Linked DNA regions of Caenorhabditis elegans. The protein of the gene in region 1 interacts with the protein of each later gene in a pairwise test. Each region holds a gene or a part of one and is shown on either strand. Other genes may lie near its edges.

Region 1 (3,251 bases):
TTCATTCAAATTTCGATAAATAGCGAGAAAGAGCAAGTTAATATGGGCAAGAGTTTCGAAAAAATCAATAAATCGAAAAACAAATCTCGACAAACTACGGTAAGCGTAAAAGTTCACAATGAACACAATGCGCATGAATTGACGCGCATGCCGTTTTTTGAGTTTTTTTTTGGTTTTATTAGAATTTCAGCATTTTTTGCAGAAAATTTTAAAAAAAACTATTATAATATTTGAAAAGAAACATTTCAAGTACTGAATCAAGCAAAACAGGAAAAAAATATTACAAAAAACTGTTTGCGCGTCAATTAACATGCATTGTGCGCAACAGCGTACTTTCTCGTCTACCATAGTTTTGCCGATTTTTTATTAATTTTTTTGTGGTTTTTAACGAAAATTCTTGTGAGTTGAAATGTATTCTATGATAGAGAAATACAGAAATTAACGAAAAACCTGAAAAGCACACTTTCTGAATCACTGAAAAAGATTCTTTACGTTGGAAATTCAGAACACAAAGAAATATACCGGCTGTTTAAAAACCATATTTTTAATTTCAAAAAAATCTAAACTTTTTCAACATTCATCAACAAAAATAAACAGAACAGTAACAAAATAACAAGTAACAAATTAACAATATTCAAATTGAGAACTTCATCCACGAAGTCTGAGAATTAAACGGAGAGTAGCCTCATTATAGATGTTATAGGCAATCAAAGTACGGTCATCCTCGAGCTGCGATCCTTGATAAATAAGACGCTGTTGATCTGGTGGAATACCTTCCTTATCCTGAATCTTGAGCTTCAAGGTCTCAACAGTATCCGTATTCTAGATTGAAATGGTGATTGTCTTTCCGGTATAGGTTTTCACAAAAACGTCAATTTCTTTTTCTATAGAAACTTCCAAACGAAGAGTACTGCCGTTTTCGAAACTGTTGTCAAAAAGAGTGCTATGATCGCTAAACAAATCTAGGTCCCAGTTTTCTGTAAAAATTAAAGAAATTAGACATATCTTTCAATATTTAAAGTACAAACCCAATAATAGTTTTTGCGTATTTGGGAGGATTCTTAGTTTTTCCCAAATTTTAGCCTTGACACTTGCCATGGTATCGGAGGCGGAAGTGTCAAGTGTGCATGTTCTTCCAGCGTTCTCAACGTAAATTCGGATTCCTTCATGATGCAGTTCTTGCTGAGTCTCGGCAACCTTGACATTCAGATTTCCGATGACCTCCGATGATTCGACACTGATGGGATCTTCGGTCACTTCTTCTGATTCACGAAGCGGTGCTTGCTGAGCCTCTTGAATTTTGACATCTTGGACAGTGTCCTCCATTTCAATGATTTGATTTCCGGTACCTTTGTCTGAAAATGATTTTTTTAATGCAAAACCCAGAAAAAAACAATAAATACCGTAAGAGACAGTGAAAACGACTCCCTGTTTGTCGCGAACTTCAGTTTTCACACTTTTCGGCGCTTCCACTGTGATGTTTTTTCCAGTCGACGTTTTGATGGAGAGCAGCATGATTTTAGCTGGAAAAATTTATAAATTAAATATTATTGAGAGTTTTGCAACAGAAAAACGAGGACAACGGTGAAAAAAGAAGCAAACAAGGGAGAAATCTGGTTTTTGGATAATTTCGAAATGATTTTTCTTAAAAATATGAATAGAATGAATTAATAAATATTATTATCAAGATTTTGATGAATTACGGGCAAAAAGCAAGCTATAAAGAAGAATTGCGTTGAAAAAGTCAATAAATCGAAAAACAAATATTGCAAAACTACGGTAAGCAAAAAAAGTTCACAATGCACAAAGAACACTTTAATTGACGCGCAAATTTTATTGAAATTTCATTTATATTAAAAAACTTTTTTCTAAGTTTTCGATGAAAACATTTCGAGTACTGAATCAAGAAAAACGGAAAAGTCAATTATTTAATGTGTATCGTGTGCAACTGCCTACTTCCTCGTCTACCGTAGTTTCGCTGATTTTTTATTAAATTCTTTGTGGTTTTTTAAATAATAGAAATTCTAATTGAAGAAACATGTGCCAACAGAAATTCTAGCGGGTTGAATAATGCTAAATTGAATTAAATTCGAGTATTTCAAAATATCAGCCTGAAGTATCCAAAAACCTGAAAAACCAATTTTCTGAACCATCGAAATAAAATGTTTAAGTCGGAAATTCAGAACACAGAAGAATTTACTGGAAAAAAACCCTCATATATCATAAATATGGTACCTGTAATATTTTGAGACAGTGTTTTTAATTTAAAAATTAAAAAAAAAACCTTCAACATTTATCAACAATAAAAAACAAAAAAGTAACAAAACAACAGATTAAGAGCAATCAAATTGAGAACTTCACAACCGATGTCTGGAGACTAAATGGATAATATCCTCATCACGAATGTTATAGGCGAACAGAGCACGGTCATTCTCGAGCTGTGCCCGACCGAAAATGAGACGCTGCTGATCTGGTGGAACACCGTGTTTATTCTGAACCTTGAACTTCAATGTCTCAACAGTATCCGTATTCTTGATTGAAATAGGAATCGTCTTTCCGAATAAGGTTTTCACAGAAACCGTCAGTTTTTCTTTTACAGGAACTTCCAAACGGAGAGTACTGCCGTTTTTGATGTTGTAGTCAGAAATAGTACGTTGATCCTTGCACAAAACAATGTTGGAAGGTTCTGTAAAAACTAAAGAAATTAGACAAGCTATCAGTTTCAAAGTACTAACCCAAATATAGTTTCTGCAGATTTGATGGAAAACCTCGTTTTTCCTAGATTTTAGCCTTAACACTTGCAATGGTATCGGAGGCAGCAGTGTCAAGAGTGATCGTTTTTTCACAAGTTTTAACGTAAATTCGCATTCCTTCACGATGCGGTTTTCGCTGAGCCTCGGCAACCTTGAAATTAAGATCCTTGATGGCGTCCGATGCTTCAACAGTGATTGGATCTCCGGTTACTTCTCCTGAAAAAATAAACATATATTGAAATAAAAACCAAAAAAAAAATCGATAAATACCGTAAGAGACTGTGAAAACGACTCCCTGTTTGTCGCGAACTTCAGTTTTCACATTTTTCGGCGCCTCCACTGTGATGGTTTTTCCAGTCGACGTTTTGACGGAGAGCAGCATGGTTTTAGCTGGAAAAGTTGAATTTATTGAGAGTATTGCAACAAAAAACAGTGAAAAAAGAGTAACAATCCACAGAAATTTGATCTTCGGGAAGTTTTGAACTTATTCTGTTGAAT
Region 2 (3,842 bases), 4.6 Mb from region 1:
TTGAATGACTAGGTTAAAATGGCCTATATCCCTCCGAATCAAGTGAAAATGAGAGCCAGTATGCATCCAGAAATGACAGATACACACTCTCATCCATTGCCTTTTTCCAATTCTCAGTCATATTTTGGCGAGTGAGAGCGGCGGGCGGACACGGACACGGACAACCAGACGCACAGAGTCGGTACCAAGCAGCACCGGCCGTCTCGTACGTCTCTCTGTCCGTGCACAGTGAGAGACAGGAAGAAAAACTAGTGGAAATAGTGAGTAGGACATAGAGACGCAGACGTTTGCTAGATGAACATTTGCAACTCTGTGAGACAACTAGGAGCAAGAAAAAACGGACGATGATGTGAGACTAGAAATGTTTCAAATAATGTGTAAAAGCTGTAGGTTTTAGATTCATGAGGGTTTCGAGGAGAAACCAATCTGGCATTCAACAATAAATAGAATTAGGCCTGCCTTTTTCAAATCACAGGTTGAAGGACCGTAAATATTTGTGTCTCTAGGCATAGGTTAGGGATGGATAGAACGGTAAACAACCAAACAAACACTTTTTGAAAACTTTATTTCGAACACTTTTCTCAAGTTAAGATCCCACACGTTTTGGAGTCATTTTCAGGGGCTTCGGAGACGGAATGTACGGGATGCGAACTTCTGGGGCAGGATCCGATGGCAAGGTGGCTGGAACTGGAGCAGGGGCTGATGCGGCGGTTGTTTTGATGATGCATGGAGGATTCTTGCACGGTTTCTTGTAGAAATCTTTGTTTGCCTTCATAATCTCCAAAACATCAGGAGGAAGAAGCTGCAAAGAAGAAAATAAAAACATGTTTTGGTAAATGAAATGATAAGAGGAAATGGGTTCAAACTGACCACATCAAACTGCTTGTTGGCTTTTCCTTGGGGTGGTTTTGGAGGAGGAAGCATCACTGAATTTCCAGATTTCTTCACTCCAGCAGGTGTGCTCTGTGCACCATCGGGAGGCGGTGGAGCAGGACCAAGTGGATCAGTAGTTGTGGATCTTTCCAATGTAAGACGGACCGTTTTTGTGTTGTTGACACTCGCGTAGAGAAGCTGAAAGTAAGTTAATTACTAAAATAAAATAAGAAAAATACTACAATACCTTTCTAGCAGAGTCACGATCAAGAACATAAATGTCATTAACTTTAACAAGAATATCTCCATCCTTGACATAGTGACACGCATTGGAAGCCGATTGAACCATTGAAATAGTCACAGTTTTTGGATCAACTGCCATCTGTAAATCATCCATGAAAGTATAAATTGTCCCTGATTACTAACTCTATGAATGATAATCCCTGTTGCAGCACCTCCACGATAAGTGAAAGTCAACTCAACCATTTGAGTATTTGGACGACGTGGTGGCATTGGTTTTTCAGTGACAAGGCAATGATCGTCTCGCATGAATTCAATTGTCACTTTTCCGGGAAGTTTTGCACTAATTGCACGGATAAAGTCAGCAGTTGTCTTGATGTTCTGGAAATGTTTGATTAGTTGAAACGGAAAATCTTAAAATATTCCTTACAGTTTCTCCATTGACATTCAGAATCTCATCACCAGCAAATAGAACACCCATCAGTTGGCTACTCACATCCACATATGTAATCTGCAATGTGATTATTCAAGATCTCTTCGATTTTTGAATTGAAAATGAGTCTTTTTACAGCCTCGAAGGAAATTGCAACCGGACTTCTTATTTATTAAAGAGTGTTCTACTGTTCTACACATCAGGGCTTTTGAAGTTTTATTCGGCTCTCGACGCGAGCCCTGTGTTGGATTCTTTATTTACCTTTCCATTGACCACATCACATGCTACAACCACATTTTTCCGTTCGAATTGTACTTCTTCTTTTCCTTTTACATGAAAACTATTGTTGTTGGTTGCCATCTGTAAATAGTACGTGTCTATCTCACAGCAACCCACTCTCGCGTCTCCTGTAACTAGTCGAGCGTCTATGCCTTTGGACCCAGCGCACTCGCTGGCCTCCTTAGCTCAGTTGGTAGAGCGTGAGACTTTTAATCTTAAGGTCAGGGGTTCGAGTCCCCTAGGTGGCTTGATTTTTTGCAGTCTGAATATTAACTTACCCCGAATAGATTGATGCGAAGATGAAAGCAACTGTCGACAAGGAAATATTTGAAACTGATTCAGTTTCTCTTTTCACTTTTTATTTTCTGATTTTTTTCTGTGTAAAACGAATTCAAACGATGTCACGCGGGTATATTTATTAAATTAATTAAATTATTTATTATTAATTAAAATTATTATATTTTGATGAGATCAATGGAATGGAACAATCCAATCAGCGTTGTCTTCTGCTTTTGTCACTTTCTTTTCACTTCCTCTTACAAACTTTGAAAGTCTTGAACGAATTGTATTCAGATCTTTGCTGTATGTTGGGGCGCTGAAATTAATTAATATTAGATTATTTTCTCCTGATTTGAGTAATTCACCTATGAGCTCTAGCTTCGGACGTTGTGTCATTATCAGATTCTTCAGTTTGAACAGTTTCCATAGCTTTTTCAGCTGGTTTCATAGTTGTAGTTGTGATTCCAAGAAGACGTTGGAAACTTGGTGGCATTGTCAATGCAGGCATTGTTGGCATTCCAGGAATTGGAGTGAAAGTTGGGAAAGTATGTGGAGCAAGAGTTGGAAGAGTTGGAAGGCCTTCTGCAGACAGGACTGGTACAGGTACTGGAATGAATTGTGGAAGTGGAAGAAGTGGTGGAAGAAGTGGAAGTGTCATTGGAAGTGGTTTAGCTGGAGCTCTTTTCACTGAACGATTAGCTTTTTGAGCTGGAAGTGTAACAACTGCTGGAGCACGTCGGATTCCTGTAGAAGCTGGACGAAGAGATTTAGCAAAAGGAGCATATGCCGATAATGATGGGAGGGGTGATCTGAAGAATAGATTAAAGAAAAAATGGAATAAATGTTAAACCTTCGAACATCTCCTCTCGGTCTTAAAGCACTTGCTCTCGGTACAACTTCATAACATGCAACGAATCCTGAAATGTTGAAATTAATTGAATTTTGAAGTCAAATATATTGATCAACTGAAAATTATATAGAAGCAATTTTTCTGGACTGGTTTTTTTTGCGATTTCGTGCAAGACGAAGAAAATATGAGAATCGAAATTTGGTTATTTATAGAACGTTTCAATTTATTGACGTACAAGCAGAATTCATATTGGGTAAAATTGTTATGACTAAGAAGTTTTGGATATGTCAAATAAATTAGTTATGTATTTTTCTTAATATTTTTTAAAACAAATTTGAACATATTTTAACCCAATTAGATAAATATTTCCTTTACCATTTAGAGCTAAATTTAGGGATAAATCAACGAAACAATCGAAAAACTAACCGATGACACAAACAGCTAACAGAAGAAGCTTCATTGTTGATTCTTTCCACAAAAATGAGAAGACGAAAAAGATAGAATAAGCCTCGAAGGCGTCGCTTCTTATCACTTTTCTTCCTACGATTTCTCGTTTTGCCCTTATCAATTAGCCATCATTTTGTGGAAATCTCAATGAAAATTCCCGTTGAAAATGAAAAAAGACAATGGATATCCACCACTTGTACACTGTCTTCAATAAGATGAAAGTTCAGCTAACATTAGTTTTTACAAACAGGGATATATTGGATTATCGTGATATTGAACTTGCTAGATTTTTATTTAATTCTATGTTGTTCAGAACATTAGTGTTCGCTGTCAATTTTTAACATATACTTTGTAAAGTATCCCACTTGTGACATGGTTTTACAACAATGCTATGCAAATTTGAGGACACTCAAATAATGGGCGGGACATAGATGATACTCG
Region 3 (3,531 bases), on another chromosome or scaffold:
ACATTTTGATGGTACCAGTTCATATATATCATAGTTGTATTGAAAAATAATGGGATCTTCTCGATGAAGAGATGTAGAAGTGTTTTCCCCTCTTGTTTTTCTTATAAATGCCGAGTTCTCGTAAAATAGTATACTCCTTTGGGGTTGGGGCACTATGTGTTTTGTGACTTGAATATTTGTCTGCTATGGTAACTCCGTTTTTGCAAAGGAACACACTGAAAAGGGTCGAAAAAGTCCTCCATGTGTGATAGCGTCATTGAGCAGACTTGAGGTGGGTGTTATCTGTATTCTCCAGGGTCTGATTCATAAACAGCACCTGTATTAATTTTCAAACAACGTTTTACTCCTACTACATTGGTTTTTCGTGTCAGGACCCAATGTTTTATATGCAGTAGGTTATCGTGAAACCTATAGACTTTGATAAGTTAATTCAAAAAACTTTAAAAAAATTTAATTTTTAAGTACTCGAAATTTTGATAGCTCATTTTTTGAAAATGGTTTCACAGTTGAGTTTTGCTTTTTGAAACAATAGTTATTTGAAACAAGTTTTATTAGTATTGCAAAATTAATTTAACACAAAAAAATCCGAAAGTTTTATTGTTTCCCATTTCCACTGACGAATGGATTTAGTTCGGCCCGTTTATTCAAATACAGTCTCATATTGGGCCGCTCTGCAAATCGTCCATGAAATCTTTTCAGTGCTGGGGTGCCATTTAGAGCAGTTGGTGTGAGGATGAGGTGAATATCGAGAAGCTCGAATAGAGCATAATCTGCATAGCTCAGCTTGTCCCCGGACACAAAGTTTTCGCCGTTGTTAAATGTGCAGAACAACTTCTCAATTCGTAGTAGCTCCCCGGGAAGAGTTTCAGTTATGTATGCTTCTTTGCCATCTTCGTAGTCTGTCTTGATCATTGTGAAATATTTGGTGCGTAGATCGCGGAGCCCTTCGGAGAACATATCGATGAATGAGGTCTCTGATTCAGTGGAGCCATTGAGTCCTGAGAAATTTTAGATGTTGTTTTTTTTTCTTTTTGTATTGAATTTTAAATAAGATTTGCAAAATGTTAACTCAACAGCCGGGAAAACAATTGTTAATATATTTTTCGTTATTTTCTCCAACTGATATTTTGAGATCAAAAAAAAATTGTAATCAAAAACGCATTAAGTCAGCCTAGAAGAGCTAACTATAAAGCCAAAAGTTTAAAACAATTTATTGACTAATTTGACGACGTTTAGAATTGCTCCAAAAGACTACTTTTAGATAATTTTTATACGATTTCGGATGTATACATTCTGCAAGTTTTTTTGAAAATTTTTATTTTGAGAAAATCAAAAAAATTTTCACTCAAAAAAAACGATTTTTTCAAAACAAAACATTTATCAAAACAATTAATAAGCAATTTGACAGGCTTTTTCTTTTTCATCAATTCGAATGAATTTTTTATTTCAAAACTGTAAATTTTCTGATTGCTCACCATAAATCCGTCCAAGATGACGAAGAATCGCTGCTGACTGGACAATCGTTTCAGTTCCGATATGAAGACACGGCAATTGAGCGAAAATCTGGAAAATTCTACTTTTATAGTTTCAAAAATTATGAATCACCATGGTTGACTTCATTTCGGCCCACTCTTCTCGGCTGATACGGTTATCTTCAAATGGGATTTCCTGGTCATTGAGCAAGAGCCGAATGGGCTCCGCGAGCCCACGAATGTCAAAGTATGTGAGCTTGAGTGTCATCGAAGTGGTCTATAAATTAGAAAAACCAAATTAGAAAAACGTAAATTTTATGATTCCGGTAAATTTGAAAAAATAAAACTTTTGAGAATTTGGGAAAACATAAATGCAAAAATATTATAATAGAGGGCAACTATACGAATTCATACATGTGTTGTTGTATTTTCGGCAATAAAAACCGAAAATATAATCGGGTTAGGGGTGTGACGCGATTGTGAACTGTAAATTAGTAAGGTTTATGTGTTGATTTTAAATTTCTATACGGTTTTTTCCTGTAATTGATCAAAAATAATCCCATCGACAAGAATTCTCCAAACTTGACAAAATAATTTTCTAGAACTATCATCCCAACTCAAACTTAACGACATTGTTATAAAAGTGCTAAGTTGTTCAAAAAGTTACAGTACTAAATTGAGAATAATTTGTTTTTAAAAACCAAAAAAAAACGAAGAAAGTGTAAGCTGTCTGCAAACTTGGTAAGAAAAGAGGGACACGTTGAAAATGTCCGCAGGCTATTGAAAAAATCTATAAAGCAAACATGTATTTCGAGAAATGCAAATAAAACTCTTTCACATTGATTAAAAAAGAACGTTGCGAAAAATATTTATGGAAAAAAATAAGAAATTTTATAACAACTTGGACAACACTTTTCCTCAAACTTTCAATAAACTTGAGCTGAATTATCCACGTTGGGTCGGACAGTCGATGTTCCAGAATAAAAGTATTTGATTGGCATTTTCACAGTGCGAAAAAGCTTGTTCCGGTAGTTGGGTAGGAGGAAAATGATAGCAAGTGGATCTAGAACAGGGAACGCTGACAGTGCAATGACGCCCAAATAATTGTTCCACATTCCGAGATCCAATCCGATTACAGGACCGTACCAGGCCATCATGCAAGGGGAGAAGCTGATGCAGATCGGGATGAAAGTCTGAAAATGTTTAGTTAAACAATTTTTTTCTGAACTCTTTAAAAACATGTATACCTGAACTGCAAGGGCTTTGAATAACTGTCTATGCAATTTCTGAGTCGTTGCAGAAACCCCTGGATTATCCGCCAGCTTTTTCATAATCTTCCATCCAAGAATAACGTATAGAGAAATTGCATATATCGAAATTCCAGTCAGCAGCAGAATTCCAATCCAGCTTCTTCTTTTGATCTCGGGACTTGCATCCTAAAATTTTAAGGGGTTAGTGTTGGTTCTTTGCTCTTTTCGAGCCTCACGAAAAACAATGCCATTAGCATGGATAAATCATGTGAATCCACATGGTAATCTTTTTGAAAAGCGTCATAGATGTAGTCGAACACTTCTTGATCTCCATAGAGACACATCTCGCAGACAGAACTCCAAGCTATTCCGTGAAAAACAAAAAATACAAAGAGACCAAATAGCCCGGACGGCCGGAGAAGTCGATCGATTATTCGGGTGCTATAATTTTTAAATTTTCGGATTTACGTGAAAAATAAAAATAAAACTCACTTAAATAGCACAAGATACCGATAGATAAAGTGAATGACAAGGATTCCATATGAAAGAGAAATACACCCACATCGAATTGAGACAGCTAGTTGGCCAAGCTTCCCAGTCTGAAGTTCAATCATTTGGTGTGTAGAGCTTTCAAACTCACCCCAAAAAATGGTCCGTCAGCTAGGTAAATCACAAAAGCTGCCCCAGTACCATGAATTGCTACGGGAACGATTAGCTCTACAGTTGAGTAAGCCATATCAAAAATTGCAAACCCTATCAAAAGATATCGATACTTCCCGATCGAAGCCTTCTTTTCGGTGGCTATCAAG
Region 4 (4,577 bases), on another chromosome or scaffold:
TTTCAGAGGTCCCGTGGTGTCACAATGTCCCATTTCGGTTTGATCTCCGAGAATTGCGGGATTTTAGACGCAGGCTTCTAAACTGGATTCGCATGGTTAAGAGTGTGCTGAGGACAGCTTGGCACCCTAGTTTAGGAAATTATAATAAATTTTTAATTAAGCTCAGAATTTAGTAGATAATTTTTATGAAAATCCGAAATTTAACCGAGTTAGGGGAGTTTTTTTTAGAAACTCAACACATAATTCAAGTAAGGTATAAATAACAAAATTTTCGACTCACTATCAGAAAATAGTTCTTCTATGTACATATATTTGTAACTGTGCTAAATAGATAGGTTGACAGGTAATTGACATTCGACCTGTATCAAGTAACGAGTTTACCTGGAAATTTCTATACAGATTGCCTAAACGGAATGTATACCCCTATACCTATACACAATTGTCCCTTGCATACATGGACGATAAATCATTTATACCCGAGTAGGAGAAAAAAAATGGGAAACGGGTTTTGTTTATGGTCAGGGAGGAATTAGACAATGTTTAAAATATAAACAAAAAGAAACATACTCTGTGTAAGGAGACGGAGAGAAGTTGCCACGTGCATCCACTCGGGTTGTACATCTGGAATATAGGTGATTAGGTGATTTTTAGGTTTTAGAAAAAGATTTTTGAAATGAATATCGTAGGTACAGAGACGTTAGTATACTGGTCTGAAAGAGCAAGAAATTTCCTATTTTTTGGCTAGGACACTTTCTTGCTACTTAATTATAAACAATCAAAAATAGGTGATTTTTAGGTTTTAGAAAAACTGCACAGAAATTGCCGTAATTTTAGATTTAAAACAGTTAGTTTTGTTAATTATGTTGCAACTAAACCAAAGTATAGAAAAAGCATTTGCTAATTGTAAGCTTAACTTTTTAAACTGGTCAAAAGTTTTGGACCGCAGCTACTACATAGAAACCGTACCATTATTATCAATTTCCTAAAAAATCCAATTTTTTATATTAAGAAAACGACTACTTATTTTATAACGGTGAAACTAAAACCACAAACAGTATTTGCCTATACATACAAATTTTTAAATTGTTATTCCTGAAACTTATAAAATAATATGAAAATTCACTATAAGATGCAGAAAAACATTTTTGGCAACTGTTGTTCATGAATGTAAATTACCGCTAAACTTTGCCGAATCAAAAATGGTGAAAGACTAATTTTTCATAACTTCTTGGAAAATAATAAATCAACTATATAGATATAGCATTTGTTAGATACCAATTTAAAAAGTTTCTCTTTTTTGATCTACCCCAAATTATGAGTAATTTAAAACCATATATGTAATGCTATCAATTTTTCCTATAGGTGATAAATTACAGTACCCATACAGCCTAAGAATTCTAAAATCTATTGTAATTTTTCTCATAACTAGGCTACCAGTAGACATCAAAAGTCAAATAAGCGACACACGAGTTGAATAGAAACAAAAAGAGTCTTCTCTCTCTCTCTCTCTTCTAAGAAGGGCATGATATCAATGTCTGGTTAAAACTGGGAAAAGGGGGTCCCTCGGGAAGTTGTGTGGAAGAAGAAAGAAGAAGAAGAAGAGGCTCTTTTTCTTTTTCATACACACACATTTCTCATTTACACTATGTTGAAAAACGAGAAAAAAGTGGATGGGAGGAGAATGAGAAAAGTGTCTCTTTTATTTTTGACCTGACTCTCATATTATTAGACGTTTTGTTTCAGGGGTAGTAAACGCGTTTTGAATGGTTTTCTATCTTTTGGCATTAATTTTTCGCGGTTTTCAAAGAAAGTGTGAGCATGTTCAGTTTTTGCTAGTGGAACAAGCATCGCGACAAAAATGGACAAAATCGTTCAACTATGTAAAAACCTTAATTTAAAGTTGCTTTTAACCCTATACGTTATACCGTTAAAACATACATCTTAAAGGTGGAGTAGTGCCAGTGGGGAAGTTGTTAAAAACCAAAAGTCCCAAAATGATCTAATATCATAATAAAACTTTTCAAAAAATTTTTGAAAATTTTTTATTTATTGTCAAAAAGTGGTGACAATTACTGAGTTTTTGCCACTCATAATTTTGGAAGTCGACCAAAAAAAAATTGTTTTTCTACATTTTTAATTCTGTAATCTTGTTTTAATTATTCGTATTAAAACATTGTAGGGGTCGAAACATGCGGCATACCTTTGGACTTTTTTTCAAAAGCTCTGATTTTTCAAAGTTTTGGCAATATGCCAAAACTTAGGCCGGAAATTATGAAAAATCTAAAATTGTGTTATATTATGATATTTGGTCGTTTTGGATCATAATAAGTGTACTTAGACAATATCCCCACCTTTAAAACGTTATACCTTATTACGAAAAATATACTATGTATAGCCTTAACTTAACGTTACGTTTTAACTTTTTTTAAAAATATTACACGATACTTTATAACCTTTATTTTAAAAACTAACGTTATAATTCGTTACACATGTAAAAACGTTGTTTTAATATGATCGTTCAATTAAAATTTTAACGTTTTTTTAATATATGATACTATAACCTTAACCTTTTAATCTTGTTGATAACGTATAATTTATAACATTTGAAATCAGGCTAAATCTATATTATAGTGTGTAATAAAACGTTGTAACGTATAACAAAGGACATAGCGTTACAGTTAGTTATAGCTTTGATTTTGAAAACGTATCGAAATATTGTAGTGTGAAAGCTCAAATAAATTCTTAAAATTGTACGTGATGACGGTATAACAGCTACCTTATTTAAATACATTTATGACGTCACAACAGTATTAAAATACATGCTTACAGCGGTAACGTTCATTTTCTAAACTTTTTAATTTTCCGACACTACTTGAAAAACATCATTATATTGCTATATCCAACAAAAAAATTGTTAGAATTTGGTATAAAGCTTTAATTTTTTTTTTAGAAACAAACAAAAATACTAACCTCTTCCTCATCCTGATCGACAGGCTCATGTTCCTCCTCAATACAAGAAGACGTACTTGACATGGAGGTCTTGTACCATGATGGGTCCTCTGACATTCTGGAATATAAAAGTTGTTATATACAAAAAGAAAATAATCAAAAATCACAGGGTAAATAGAGGCTAATCGTATATACAAATAGAAGCGGAAAAAGCAATGAAGTTCAGTTTGTTTCTTATGCTTTTTGAAGACTGCGGTTTTTTTTTTAAATTTTGTTATAAAAATTAATATTTTAACTCAAAGAACAATTGAAAACGTTTTAAAGTTCAATTTCAACAGAAATAATAAGAATAACCAGAAAATTCTAATTTATAAGGACAAGTTTTCAATTTTTTAAAGTAACATCGAAAAAAACTGTATAGAAGTAGTAATTAGTATGAAAATTGAAACTTCTTATTGAGAAAAAGTTATAATAGGTCAACTTTTAAATTTAATAATAGTAAAAAAGCCCCGTTTAAAGCGGTTACATTATGAACAAATTAAATTTTAACAAACTCAAATAAAACAAGTTCTATTTAAGTAGTTATCACAGTACTTAAACAATTATAAATTCCAAAGAAATATTGATTTTATAGGAAAATCCTGAACTTTTCCCATACAAAACCCTGCAAAATCCAATAAACAACCTTGAAAAGTTGTTAGTTTAAACGGGGAAAATGTCGTCAAATGGTGTGTTATTCCATTCAATACATACGCATATATCGGGTACGCAGACATTGAATTTGACGACATATTGGTAGGCAGAAGGGTAGGAGAATGGGGAAAAGGGGTCATGTAAAGGAAATTGAATTTGGGATGCGTGGAATTTGGAGTAATTTTGGGGTTTTCTGGGGGGATGGGGAATTGAATTTTTGAATAGTATCGGAGTAATTAGAGATATGAGAGAAGAAAAATAGTAATTGTTTGGAAAATGTGTGTAGTCTTAAATTCAAATTCCATGCAATTGAGTTAGTCAAAAAAAGGAAGTGTATGAATGTTATCATACGTTATAATACATATATGTACATAAATTATATATACCGTACATTCCCTATTAGTATGGCCCCCCGTCAATCGACTTTGTCGGCTCATATTTCAACGGTTTAAAAATATTTTTGATACCTTCAAAAACCAAAGCATAACGATAGATTTGAAAAAAATTGTGTCGTTTGAATTTTGAATTTTTGAAATATGATCAAAGACAACCGAGATATAAACGTACTAAAAAGGGAATATATGGTAAAATTCCATGGTGTGTTATAGAATTCGGTATATATATAATTATATAGGTATATAGATATATAGAATTAAGTACCTATGTATATCGGTTCTAGTTAGCTATTTCTAATTAATAATTATTACAGTCTTGAACGAAAGTTTCAAAACTGTGAGGTATTAGACTTTGTCACTTTTATGCTTTTGTCAAACCAAAGTCAGATGGTTCAATAACCTATTTTCCCAAGACAGTGTATCATATAAGCTTGAAATACAGTCTAAAACATCGATTTCAGAACAAAAAATGGACAAGTCTTGTTTGGTGATTGGCACAAAACACTTCAGCTCAAAAACTCATAAACTGGAAAAAAGTTG

What was found.
Region 2: the proteins of F52C6.3 (region 1) and mpz-3 interact in a two-hybrid assay, tested with the Caenorhabditis elegans proteins (one large-scale study listed by BioGRID).
Region 3: the proteins of F52C6.3 (region 1) and gst-23 interact in a two-hybrid assay, tested with the Caenorhabditis elegans proteins (one large-scale study listed by BioGRID).
Region 4: the proteins of F52C6.3 (region 1) and zoo-1 interact in a two-hybrid assay, tested with the Caenorhabditis elegans proteins (one large-scale study listed by BioGRID).

The regions. Positions count from the first base shown.
Region 1 is NC_003280.10:1,923,031-1,926,281, reverse strand, and holds F52C6.3 (Ubiquitin-like domain-containing protein), read right to left. Parts: upstream 1,524-3,251; 5' UTR 1,516-1,523; coding exon 1,404-1,515; intron 1,356-1,403; coding exon 1,029-1,355; intron 978-1,028; coding exon 823-977; 3' UTR 562-822; downstream 1-561. Other genes in the region: F52C6.4 (Ubiquitin-like domain-containing protein), read right to left, coding at 2,779-2,969, 3,024-3,135.
Region 2 is NC_003280.10:6,563,248-6,567,089, forward strand, and holds mpz-3 (PDZ domain-containing protein), read right to left. Parts: upstream 2,150-3,842; 5' UTR 2,104-2,149; intron 2,074-2,103; exon of another isoform or gene 2,001-2,073; intron 1,907-2,000; coding exon 1,808-1,906; intron 1,625-1,807; coding exon 1,544-1,624; intron 1,495-1,543; coding exon 1,300-1,494; intron 1,256-1,299; coding exon 1,121-1,255; intron 1,072-1,120; coding exon 871-1,071; intron 803-870; coding exon 587-802; 3' UTR 547-586; downstream 1-546. Other genes in the region: F18C5.5 (Vegetative cell wall protein gp1-like), read right to left, coding at 2,297-2,420, 2,470-2,913, 2,955-3,021, 3,381-3,414.
Region 3 is NC_003283.11:3,241,504-3,245,034, reverse strand, and holds gst-23 (Glutathione S-transferase), read right to left. Parts: upstream 1,752-3,531; 5' UTR 1,741-1,751; coding exon 1,606-1,740; intron 1,564-1,605; coding exon 1,476-1,563; intron 999-1,475; coding exon 595-998; 3' UTR 533-594; downstream 1-532. Other genes in the region: srj-7 (Serpentine Receptor, class J), read right to left, coding at 1-32; srj-11 (Serpentine Receptor, class J), read right to left, coding at 2,399-2,665, 2,720-2,908, 2,959-3,163, 3,215-3,321, 3,363-3,531.
Region 4 is NC_003279.8:14,528,021-14,532,597, reverse strand, and holds the start of zoo-1 (Tight junction protein ZO-1), read right to left. Parts: upstream 3,070-4,577; 5' UTR 3,067-3,069; coding exon 2,971-3,066; intron 1,667-2,970; exon of another isoform or gene 1,618-1,666; intron 622-1,617; coding exon 568-621; intron 1-567.